2 linked regions of the Drosophila melanogaster genome follow. The protein of the gene in region 1 interacts with the protein of each later gene in a pairwise test. Each region holds a gene or a part of one and is shown on either strand. Other genes may lie near its edges.

Region 1 (8,355 bases):
GGCTCATGGGGACTCTGGGTTCGATGTCCCTGATATTTATAATTAATTGAAATAATTCCCCCTCTGAATAATTACACACACTGCACTCTCTCTCTCGTTTCATTTATCCTTTTTCCTTGTGGCGGAAACCTGGTAACCTGGCCGGAACGGAAATCAGGTCATCAAACCACCTGGCTGGCAGTGCTGCAATGGACACGTGCTCTGCAATAATTGCCGCAGTCGCTCCGTAAAGTGTCCCGTGTGCCGAGTTCCTTTGGGGCCGAGAGGCCGCTGTCTGCTGTCGGACAAACTGTTCACCCTGCTGGCGGAGAGTTTCCCCTGCGATGGCGGTAAGTGCTGGTCGTTCTTAAAGGACACACATTCGCGACTTTTATCTATTTAAGCCGTGCGATACCCCAATTGGTCCTGTCATTAGGCAACAGATGTCGTTGTTTTCCAGCATTCTGAGCGCTTCTAGGGGTGTCCTTGAATGGCAAAACATAATGGGAGTGGTGGGGATAGGATGCAAAGTCTGCTGATCACTTCAATTAACGTTTATAACTTGATTTTATATAATATTAATACATAACGAAGGTGAAATTTAATACGAATTATGTACTTTTAAAGCAAAGCCTTAACTACTTTGATTATTTAGATCCAATTTGTTATAATTACTTTCGGTTCGATTGAACTTTTGTCCGAAAGGTATTCTATTTCATGTAATGCAAAACCCTGTGGAAATAACCTTTGTGCCCGCCCCGCTGTAATACATCCTGCGGTAATGGCAACATCCTGGCTGGGAGCGGGGAATCCTCATTTGTGTGGGCCATAACTTTTCGACAGCGGCAAGTGTCAATGTTTCACTTAAATCTCGACCGAGATGCGGCGCAAATGAAAGAAAAATGTGACGAGAAAGCGGAGCCGAGTCAAGAGTGCTTGAAATTGAGCGCAATGGCTCATCTTCGCTTGTTGTTCTTTTTATGGCATAATTATGTAACATAAATTGCTAAAGTTTTTCGCGCTTAGCTGCGTTGCCATCTTGCCGGAAGATTGTTGTTGGCGTTGCTTTTCTTGCTTTGCCACTGGGCGGCTTCGTTTAAAGTTTAGCCGCCCTTGTTGCCATTTTCAATCTGTGTCGACCAAGTTAACTTGGAGTGAAGTTTACAGCGGAGGTAACAAGCAGCAACAGAATTTTCCGCCGTTGTCTGCATTTGTTTTTCCCTGCTGGTCTTCATTTTTTGCCACTTTTACCCACTTCAGGGTCCTTCGCTTTGTTTTTTCCCAGATTATGCCGTGCTTAGTGCGTTTTTATTGCGTCTACATTAAGTGTGCATTCTTTATGATTCGCCCGGATTCACCCATAGTTCAGCCATAGTTCAACCATTTTTATACAGATGCAGGTACGCGGATATTTACTTAGTTTCTGCTCTATTTTCATTTGCCACTTGAAGAAGTTCAAGGGAGTTTGTGTCAAGGGATTTGGGGGCAAAACACAAACGAGCGCAAATGGACAACTTGCGTGCATATCCATCCAGTTGTCCCAGTTGTATTTATTATATTTACATTTCGTACTTTTTGTAATGGTCCTCCGTTTCGGTGCCTCTTTTCAGGGAAAACCAACAAGGTGGCTGCCTCCCAGGGCCATGGAAAGCTGAGCAGCGTCAACAAGTGCACAAATGAATATCATAATCAACCGAAAATGGCGCTGGCGAAGACGAGTTCCGGCAAGTCCAAGTGCGGCAAGCAAATCTCCAGGCAACTCGAAACAGTTTTGGTGGACCAAAGTCCTCGGGAAATCAGAAGAAAGAGTCAGCAGGGGCAGGAGCAGGAGCAGGCGGTGCAGGAGGCTGTCCTGCCACGTTGCACGCTGATAAAAGTGCAGCATCAGGAGGCCGCTGTCGAGCACTTTTCGGAGGAAGGTCACAACAATATGCTCGTTAAACCAAAGTTAAAGTTGAGTAAGAAAAGTTGGCGGATTACTGGGCCAGATCAAGACGGATTGCGCTGCGATGAAGTTGCCACCATAAATAATGGTGTCCAGGTGCAGGAGCAACAGCAGCAGCAGGAGCGGCAGCAGCTGGGGCATGAGAAGTCAGCAAGCAGCGAGAGCGAGTATCAAAATTATCATTGCCCAACTGGGAAATCATGCAGCAGCCACAGTTACCAACTTGGCCAGCCAGTGGCCAACAAATTGTCAACAGTCGCGATGCAGGCGCTGGCGGTGGTTGAGAACTCGGGAGGTGCATCCTTATCAGCGGGGAGCCATAAACAGGCGCCGGCAGCCGGAGTAAATCAGGAGCTGCCACTGGAGGCGGGGTCAATAGGTCGGCGGGAATGGCAGTTGTTGCGACATTTGAGCGGCGACCACCGGCTGGCAGTGTTGCAAATCTACGGCACGTTCGGCGAACGCTTGCACGTCCGCCCCCAGCTGCCCCTGGAGGGCGTGGCCTGCCTGCGGCTGAGCGAGGAGTCCTCCACTTTTGGCCACGTCAGAGTGCACACATTTTTCTTGGCTGTCATTGCGATCGGCGGCGGCGATGAGCACGCCGTCTTCCTGTGGCACCTAGACCACCTGCCACATGGACCCACTTTCGAGACTGTCATCGAGACTCCGGGCCACCGATTCCTGGGACCTGCTCACTCGCTCCGGTGCAGCTGGCCGGAGATTAGGGCATCCGGCCAGTTCCTCACCCTCCGCAATCTGGCTGCCAAGTGCGAGGTGACCATCAAAAGCAGGTAGACCCCATCATGCACCCAAGACTGGTCCCAAAACATAGGTATTCTAAGCTAATTAGCAGGTAGTAATCGTGTTTAAGAGCTTTGAGGCAAGTTTAAGAACTGATGGCTGCGAAAGCGGCGATAGAGCAAACCAAAATGCAATGAACATAAAATAAGAATAAAATGTGAAATGTATGCTTTGTAAATTATATTTGCATTTTTTCCATCGACCGCGTATTTATACGAAAAATGCAAAACGCAATTTGGAAATGTGTTTAATTTGCAATATTTTTAATTAATAAAAACATTTAGAAATGTGCTGGCCTGGCAGTTTGAAAGTCCTCGCCATTGAGTGTCCACGTTGAGCTCAACAACCTGCAGATGCTCTATAAGAGTAGCGAGCTAAATTAATGGTTTGTATGGTACTTTAATGAAAAACAAAATAAATCTTTCTGCGCCATATGCGATTCTTTTGGAATATCATGACCCATTTCAAGAGTATCTCCATTAGTCCTTGCATCCTTATGGCGGAATAATAACACCAATGTTTGTGCAAAAGAAATTGAAAAACTGAAAACTGAAAACTCAAAACAGAAAACTGAATACTGAAAACTGGTAACTAGCGCCTGTCTGTTTGCTGCCTCCTGATAATTGACTTGCATGCAAATTAATGTTTTTTGCATGTGGGCGTAAATTGCTGCCCTGTCTGACAAACAGTAAACACGGTCAATGCAGCGGCGAGTCATTTTCATCAACGCGCCGCTGCACTATACATAAATCTCTGCCCCATCGATGTTTACCATATTTAAGGAAAAAATTCCAATTTGATGCAACAAAAATCACGGCACTGTAACAACATGTGTGTGCGTGGCAAATAGAGCGAGAAAGTTGTATTATCCTTTTTGCAGCGCCCCGCACCTCACAATGTCCTGTTTTTTTTGAGCCATCATCATAGTCATCATCATCGTCGTCATAATGGCCATCTTATAGAGTGAGAGTGCAACTGCAACTCCATACAGTGCAAAAAAGTGTGTGTGCATAGTTAAAATAAATTAAATATTTTCGCAAACGACACTTTTTTTGCGCAACAACGTGTGGCACCTGATGAGGAGATGATCTGACTGGAGCACTGGATAATGGTGGTGACGTCACTGCGATTGGTTATCTTTGTCATGGGGCTGGTTTGTCCATCAGGTAAATTAAAAATATTCCAGCGAAGCAATTAAATTACAGCCACGGCGTGGGAGTGGCCACGGCGCCCAATATGATGAGCAACGTCAAAATGCAAATTGTCAGAAAAACAATTTGCAAGACAAGCGAAACTCTTTTTACTTCAAGGAAATATAATTGCTTTCCAAGCTCACAAAAATTAATAATTAATAATAAAAACAATATAAGGTAGTTTTTTTTTTAATACCATGTAAACGCAGCTGGCAAACTAAAGCGCCATCTATGGCACAGAATTGCCGCCCCAATGATAGAGCTCAAATGGGGCAGGTCGCGCACATTTCCCTAAAAAAAAGTGAAAGCGTTTAATCATTCCGACACTCACACATGGGAAATGCGCTATGATTAGAGGTCTATTAATAACGCGGCTATTCGGCGCCTTATCTAGTTCAGATAAATTATGATTACATGACAATTATTTATCAGCTAATTGGCTGCGCCTTAGAAAACTATGGGCATATTGAATCGCAGATAAACGAACCCCTTATAAATATGTAAGTGCTTCCAAACAGACCCCACCCCCACCCCTCATTTCACCCAACCCAGAAACCAACTCATTCCGCACTTTTCGCTCGACAGCAATGAAAACAGAAGGTTCGCCTTCCGCAGAGCTTGTTTGTTTGCCAATTAGTTTTAATCGAAGAGCGCTCGCTGGAGCTGCGCGAATCGGCAATTGCTTGTTTAAATGGCTTTTGCTTTTCTAATTAATGCGTTTGGCAAATATTTGCCAGTGCATGAGCTGTAATAAAAAGAAGCTCCAAGTGCTCAAGTTCCGGGGCTACTACACTATTTCATTCCGCCTTTCCGCCGGTCGTGTCGCGCGTGTTCCGTTCCCTGCATATACTATACTATATACTATATATCCACTCGATTCGCAGCTAACCAATCTCTTCAAACCGCGGCGTTTCTCTTTGGCACTCGTCAATTTTGAGCCAAGAATAGCCATTTGGACTACGTCATCGTACTGATTGCGTCAGCAGTTGTCGCTCTTTGGCATTATTTTCCGCGTTTTTTTCACTCAATCACTCAGTTTTGTTTTGTTCTCTGGATTTCGCCGACATTCGACATGAGCAGCGATTCCGGTAAGCGATTCTGGCAGCTTTCGATACTCACTTTCGGCGTTAATTTACGAGTTTATGGTTAATCAATTAAATGCCACTTTTTGCCCAAGTGCCAATAAATAAATCGTGTGCAAATATGTTCGGGCTTCCACAAGTCAAATTGTTGGGAAATTAACTCTTTTATTTATATACTTGGGACTGGAAAATAAGAATGGTAGAATGGAATTATCAATATTTTTTGTTTGATTAGCAACCCTTCGGCTTTATCTATCATGCGTAATTAAAAATGTTACCAAATAGCTTGAGTCAATTTTTTTTGTGGGAAAAAAGTATGAATATAAAGCGATTTTAATTTTAATATCATACAAATTAATTTATATATATATATATATTTTTTTTTAGATATATTGGATGTAGTGGCAGGCAGTGAGGGTCCACCCTTGCAAGCCTTTCGCAGCAGCAATCCCTTCGAGGACTCGTATCAAATGTCCTCCTGCCAGCAAGATTTCGAACGCGATCGTGATGCGAACTTGACTCCATTGCATATGCTGCGTCGAGCCAGCGAAACGGTGACCGCCAGCATCCTGGAGCCGGAAAAGGAGCACCTCCTTGGCGACAAGCCACAGGTGCCCCCTCGTGCCCATGGAAGCACCGCGCCAAGCGCCATCGAAGGTGAGTGATATGTTTAATTGCACCGCGTCGTCATGGGGAAATTCGAAAAATGCGGAACGAAAGTATTTGTTACGGAAATTCTTGCCTTTATGCAACCAGCTCCCCGGATCAGTGTGCACACAACCCGCAGACAGGACGGCAAAAAGGATGCTGAAGACAGAGACATCCAGTGGAACAGCTCCATGCCAACGCTTTGTTGGCCAGCCAAGCGAAGTGGCTCCGACAGCCAAGTGCACAATGCGTGCTCAGATATGCACATATGCACTTCAGCACATATACGAGTATTCATAGTTTGTTTATGCAAAGTTTTTGTTTCGCCGTCGAGATATCCTGGCAGAATCACAGCTTTTTCTCTCAACTGGCAGGAGCTGATTGAGGCATTTCGATTTTAAGTGAACCGCACAATCACATCTTGCACAAGATGGCGAAGGCGGGCGGGGGACACAGGGGCGTATACGTAATATTTCCGCATATTGACGACAGAGTGTCTGCGATTGACAGTCCAGTGCATCTACCGTCCCGGCTCAAACTCAAAGGCAGGCATTTCCTACACATTCCTTCTGATTTCTGGAAATATGCAAGGCTGTGCCCTGCTGGCCATGTGTGTGGACCACTTTCGTTGGCCGAGCTTTTTGTTTACGCTCCTCTGTTTTGGCAGGTGGCCCTTGCTGGTTTTTCGCCCACAGCCGAGTAGCTAGTATTTTTGAAACTCCCAGAGCAGCAATTGTTTTGCATCTGTTCAAATGCGGGTTTTCGCACCAGTCCATTGTACAACTTTTTGGGAGAATTGGGGAGAACTTCCCTTTGGGCCATCGCAATTGTGGCATTTTCACACGAATAATGAGCCAGTTTAGTTGCGCCCAAATGCCCGCAATCATACAACTAACACGAGTGGCAAAAGCCCGCGGCTCTCGGCAAAGTATGTTCCCATGAATATGCATTAACCGGGGCTCATTTCCTGTGCATTCATTTCGCATTTGCTATTCGCTTTCACATTCGGAGTGCACCACTGATTCTGATTCAGATTCCGATTCCGATTCCGATGCCCGTTTCCATTTCGCGTCTGACTCTGATTTGACTGTGGAAGTCATATTTAAATAAGTTTGCGCACCGCTGCAGGCAGCACTAATGCTCGCATGTGCAGGCACTCGTTTATATTAAATAAATTCCATTTAAATGCAGCGTTTGGGGCAATTCCTCAAGCTCAACCTTGAATGGCACAGCCCTACCATCCACCTGCCCCATCCACATTTCACCTGTCGCTTCTGCTTGTGAGTGAAACGGTGACATTTCTGTTAACTAAAGCCAACATGATATACGCTTGGCACACAAACATGCACTCGTCTATTGATAAATGCAGTGCATTGCGCATTCGCCTCATGCGCCTGTGTGTGTGTGTGTGCAAGTCAGTTCATTACGTATACGCAGTGTGCGACATTTATAAATGCCAGCTAGACTGTGACTCAGCATAATGATTGCCAAATGAATGGTAGAATGTTAACCGTCACGAAAACCCTTTCGACGCCATTTCAATTGGCGCTGGTGCGTTTCGCAGCTGTGTTGGCCCACTTTGGAGGCTTGAATACTTTGGCTAAATCTGAAGGATTTGCAGGCACTTGCACTTGCGCCACAGCTAATTACTAAAACTGCACTTAGTCGCCCCTCCCGCACTTAACCTTTGACCACCTGTCAGACTTTGGCTGCTTATTTGCCGAGCTGCAACGGGGGTTTTTTTTTTCAATTTGTCTCTGGCTCTTTTATTTACCAGCATGGCGCTGAATGGCGCTTTGTGACCTCATTTCTCTACCATTTTTATATAGTTTACCAGCCCGGAGCCAAGAAAGTGCCAGTTTCCACTGATTTGCGATGTATGAGCACTAAATTCGATGCGAATCGCTGGGGCGTGAGTTCATCTCTTGGCAGGAAGTGCGTGACAACGGAATGCAATCTTCTTCCACGCAAAGAAATTATTTTCCGAATGCGCGCTGCATGTGGAGTTGCAAGTCGGCATCAGGATTCAGGACGCGGCAAGGATGCCGGCTGGCATAGTTAAAAGGTGGTACGCTTAAGTAAACATAAATAAAATAAATGTGTTCTGAGTACGGGAAAAGTGATTTGATATATAAGTACGCCCCAGACGCAGAAAGAGTTTCAGACTTCAGACAGCAGGAACTCCGGGCTCCTTGGCGTGGAAGAGCACGGAATAAGGAGAATAAGGACTTCTGTCATCAGCGAGCGCAATTTTCCGTTTAAACATATTGAAAAAGCACCTAACGTTCGCCTGTAAATAATGAATAGTTGAATAACTGATATAAATTACTGGGGATACACATTCAGTAGACCGTCTTGCCGAGCACTTTTTATGGCACTTTTAGCTGAAAAAACAATCTAAATGTTAAGTGACAGCAAAAAAAAACTTCGTTCAACTTTGAGCAGAACTATAAATTCTCCATCCTTAGACCTAAGTGAACTTTTTCAAAGTTGTTTAGTTTTCGGGCCGACGTCGTCTGGAAAAGTGTTTGCCTCGCTTCCAATTAACACCTCAGATTCGCACTCGTACGCAATAGTCCGCACATGACAAGCGGATGACAAAAACTTTGCAGATGCAGCTGCAACTGTAACTGGAGCTCCATGGATATGGCCATTACTTTTTTCCATCAGCACATTCTGCGAAGGAGTCCTGCTCCGGCTCCTGCTG
Region 2 (4,789 bases), on another chromosome or scaffold:
ACGAAATGCCTGCTCTACTTTTAAAGCGTTGTTTTGTGCTATACCCTCTTTTTCAGGGTGACCACGCATTTCAAGGTTTAATGTAGGGGGAGGGTTTGATTTAGGGACAGTGTTTGATTTAGGGAAAGTGTTTTCTACCGACTCGCCCTTAATTTTTTCATTTTTATTTTTAATTTTTTCTAACACCATCATTATTAAATCATACTGCTTCGCGTTAAAATATTCATGATCGACAACGCCGATCTTTAACAAATTGCTATGATTAGCAATGAAACATTTTTGAAGCTCATTTAATTTTAGAATTTCTACATCTGTTAATGTTGGTTTTACTTCCAACTTTCTAATTTCCAAAATAATTTCGGACTGCTTCTTAAGGAATTGAATAGTCTTTTCTGACATCATTTTGAAAATTTTTTGTAATTTCTTAATATATATAGTACGTGTATATGTATTTTATATGTATTTATATATATATGTGTGTTTGGATAAACAGAAAATTCTTGTTTTGACTTAGCTGATGTCGTTGTTGTTGCTGCTGCTGTTGCTGCTGTTGTTGCTGCTGTTGCTACTGCTGTTGCTGCTTCTGCTGCTGCTGTTGTTGCTGCTTCTGCTGCTGGTAGAGGCTCCTTTGAATTTGACTTCCTTCTCTTCTTTAAGGCTCCGTCGATGTTTAAAGATGATTTTTTTTTTTTTTGGCACGTTTTATTATTTTTGTAGTCCAGTCAGATTTTTTGTTTTTTAGCCATTTATTTCGGCATTTATGCTCTTTTGGCATATACACTGCACTCTATTTATGAGCTGATTTAATGCTATTAGAGCATTTATAAGGCACTGTTTTCAGGCACTTTTTATTTAATTTATGCTCTTATGGCATATACACTGCACTCTATTTATGAGCTGATTTAATGCTATTAGAGCATTTATAAGGCACTTTTGTTATGCACTTTTTAATTTCACAATTGCTGATGTATGGCCTCAAGCACGCCTTACCACAATTTATAATGGTACACAAAGCAACCTTTAGCTATAGACTATAAGGTGCTTGTTTTAAAACATAAAAGATTCTTTTGTATCTTTTGCTTTTTATATTTATACTCTGTTCCTTACCTTTGGTAGGGGGAAACAAGAGTCACTTATTTTTGCTACCTTTAGCTGTAAGATGCTTAAAGGAGCTGGCCTTTCTCTGAGTTCCTTACCTTTGGTAGGGGGAAACTGCAGAGTCGATTAAAGGCTCGATTGACCAAATGTAAAATCCCAAATAAGAAGACTTTACTCGTTGAGTTTTTGTAAGAAACTTGATTTTATTTGGAAATATCTTCGGTTTAAATAGGTGACATGAGAATCGCATCTTAAAGTAAATGGCCTACGCAGAGGCCTACGTAAATAGTCCCCGCCTTATCGAGGTCCCACGCTCGGGCACATCTGCCTATCTTGAGCGGCGAGGACCTTATCTGTGGTCTCCCACTAAGGGACTATTTTAGGAGGCGGGGAACGATCTCAAGTGACTGACTCATGTAGTGTGCACTTAAATTACATGTTTTTGAGCAATGCACCCATGTCGCCTTAGATAACAAAATCCTAAATATAATTTATCGCTCTCGATTCATTTACATAAGATATGAACGGAGCCCAAAATTGTAAGTCTTTAAATATATTCGTGTTCATGTGTGAACAGGCACACAGCAAAAAAAACGTAACATTTGATTTACATTTAGGATGATTATGCAAATCATTCAGCTTACAAAACAACAGATTGATTTGTATCAGCTCCAATCAAATTTGCGTTCATTAGCCACTTGCTATTATTAAAATACACTGATTTAAGGACTAAATCCTACTACCCTAAGTAATGTAAAATTCTGAAATATATTTCCTATTTTATGACATTTGTAATACCACTCCAAGTCTAAAATGTAAATTTCATTTGTTGCTATTAATCATAGTTAACAAGAGGACTGGAAGAATTTACTTTAATTTAAAATAAGGGATAATAATGGCCATTTTCAGTGCTTCCCTTCCCTGTGAGACTCTACATATGTACATACATATGTATGTATGTACGTATAGTATGTATCCTTTTTGACTGATAGCGATAGCATAACTTTTTCGGTTAGTCTCCGAGGTGCATTCACACATGGCTGCATTTCAGTTGCTGAAGTAGAGCGGCTTAGAAGGTGTTTTTCCGGGAATTGCAAGGGATGTCGGTTGGGAGGGGATTGGGTTCTCCGGCGACTTTGAACAGAGGGTTAGCTGCATCCAGACTCCGGCAGTCATAATGCAATTATGCACTGCCTGGCGGCACAGCTCCTTTGGTACGAGTAATAAGCATTTGCATTTTCACAGAATGTAGAACACAAGTCGCTGAAGAAGTTGCGCTTTGTAGGTTTCCATCGCTCCGAATAGCCCGGCATTGAAACCCCTTTGTAACCCCTTTCCTGGCTCATCAGCCGGAATGGACCTATGGCCATGTGCGCGGGGTTGAGGGGTGAGTTTCATGCTCATAATTTGTGCACTTTATTAATAAAGTTTTCCAAATTGGCTTGGCCCAGACGCAGTGCAAATACACAAAGCGAGGAGGAGAATGAATATACAAAAAAAGTGTATAACAATTGTAAAACAATATGGCTCTAAGAACTTGTGTAAAACATAACATTTTTTTTAGTCACATACATAAACAGAAACGCGGGCCTATATTTTCAACTGATAGTGGAAGTTTTCAGAGCCTTTAAGATGACAAATCTATTCAGTCATGTTATTTTCCCTTCGATTTCAATTTGCTTTAAGATTCTACCCTCGAATTTCTCTTTTCCCTTTGACCATTAATATCGAGCTTGCCTTTCTAAGCTTACGGGGTTCAAGAAACGAAGTTTTTAGTTTGCTGGGGAAAGTGTTTATTTAAGTAACTGGGAAAGTGGCGAGGAGGTGTGTGTCCCCCTCCAGAAATATCCCAGTTCTAGTTGTTCTGCCCGCTTTGTCCTTGTCCACTCTGCTGGTTGCCGTTTCCATTGCCATTTGGCGGTCTTGGCGGCTGTCCCTGCGAATGTCCATTTTGGCCCTGGGCGGCCACCTGCAGCGGCATTTGTGCCTGGAAAACCTCTGGTTAGGCCAAGTGGATGATTGAAAACCCTTCAACTCTTACCAAACCCACAGCCAGAATTAGAAGGAAGATGCTGAACAATGCGAACTGCTTCATGTTGAATTTGAAACTAGTAAACTAACAACACATGTGGTCTTTTATAGTCATACAGCACAACTGCGGTTCCCAAGAGATTATAATCCAGTGCAATTAACCATCGCAGTGAACAAAATGGCAAAATCAGTTTGTATGTTAATAATGCCATTCTGTATTATTTTGCTCGCTCGAATCTGATTTATAATGTCGTAATTGCGTGTGACCCGATCTGATCGCATATACAATATATTAAAACGACAAAATAACTCCAAAGGGGAGCCATCATTTTGCTGTTTAATTGGAAAAACAAATTTGAAAAAATTAGCCAGAATATCTCTCAAATGTCACTAAGGTCATCATATCATAGCTATAATTAACTAAAAATGTATAGATTGAGCTCTAAATTTAATAACATTTTGGACACGCCAAAACAAATACGTTTTGCGAAAAATTAACTTGGATGGTAAGAATTTATAAGTCAACATATAGCGATCTGATTCACACTCTGACTTCAAAAGCTATATTGATTATAAAATATTTGGGCGTTTTATCTTTGATAACATCAGAGCGTCATAAGCAGTTACTGAAAAATAACCACTAGGTGGAGCTCGTGTGCACTCACGGAAGCAGTCGGAGTAACAGGTATCTGATATTCGATACTTTTGACACTGTCTCTGGTTTTTTGTATCTTGTCTTGGTAAACTATTTTCCTAAAATATTCCAAGTGGCATATTAAATTTCCTTAGCCTCGCACTTTACGAAGCTTTCGAAATCAATTCATTTAGGCACTATTACATTTTCATAAAGTTTGTCTAGGCAGAGTAAACCGTCAATTATTCAAACTGGATTTCCTATTGCTGCTCGGTCTTTTAATTTGAGCGTATGCTCAAACAATCCAACACACCAGCCACCCATATGCCACCATTCTTTGACTGACACTACACGTTTTGAAAGAGATTCGCACACCACCCACCATCCACCTGCCATCCAACTGCCACCGCCCATTCACTTGCCCCTCGCCATCACCTTGGGGGCATGGTCGGGCAAAGCAATTTCGCTCGGCATTTTCGAGCGTTGAGTGGCAAAATGTCTTCGGTTTCAGCTTGAGATTAAATTCTGCCGAACGTTGGCCAAACAGAAACAAGACTTTCTAGTTTACACAACAACGATGGGTCCCGCCCGCCGATTCACCTGTCACCACCTATGGGCACATCGATGTTTGCAGACTGAAGGAAGTGCATATAGTTGAATTATTTAGTTACAATTGATACAAGTATAGGTAATTTCTAATGTTAAGTTGGGAGGCATTCTTGAAATTAATCTTCTAAGAACTCTATTACAATAATTTTGAAAAATTAAAATAAACTATAAGAAACATACATATGCGTATGATAGTAACAACAATGCAAGCAGTTGCAGAAATAATTTTTAAAAATATTATAAACGACTTTGTGCAGATTTCTTACTGTGTACTTGTGTGGGTTTTTTTCGGTTAATAAATGTCCCTGCCACAGCGAAATATGAATATTGAATATGCCCATAGTCGCGAACTGAGCGGCTGAATAAACCGCAAGCGAGTGGCGAACCCATAACGCCTTATAACCATTTCGGCACTTT

The links. Proteins that work in one complex are often made in the same cells at the same time.
Region 2: the proteins of Nha2 (region 1) and CG12158 interact in a two-hybrid assay, tested with the Drosophila melanogaster proteins (one large-scale study listed by BioGRID).

The regions. Positions count from the first base shown.
Region 1 is NT_033777.3:22,994,816-23,003,170, reverse strand, and holds the start of Nha2 (Na[+]/H[+] hydrogen antiporter 2), read left to right. Parts: upstream 1-4,642; 5' UTR 4,643-4,990; coding exon 4,991-5,006; intron 5,007-5,385; exon of another isoform or gene 5,386-5,387; coding exon 5,388-5,657; exon of another isoform or gene 5,658-6,717; intron 6,718-8,355. Other genes in the region: CG34375 (uncharacterized protein), read left to right, coding at 158-329, 1,590-2,719.
Region 2 is NT_033778.4:9,359,697-9,364,485, forward strand, and holds CG12158 (uncharacterized protein), read right to left. Parts: upstream 3,211-4,789; 5' UTR 3,194-3,210; coding exon 3,140-3,193; intron 3,086-3,139; coding exon 2,954-3,085; 3' UTR 2,878-2,953; downstream 1-2,877.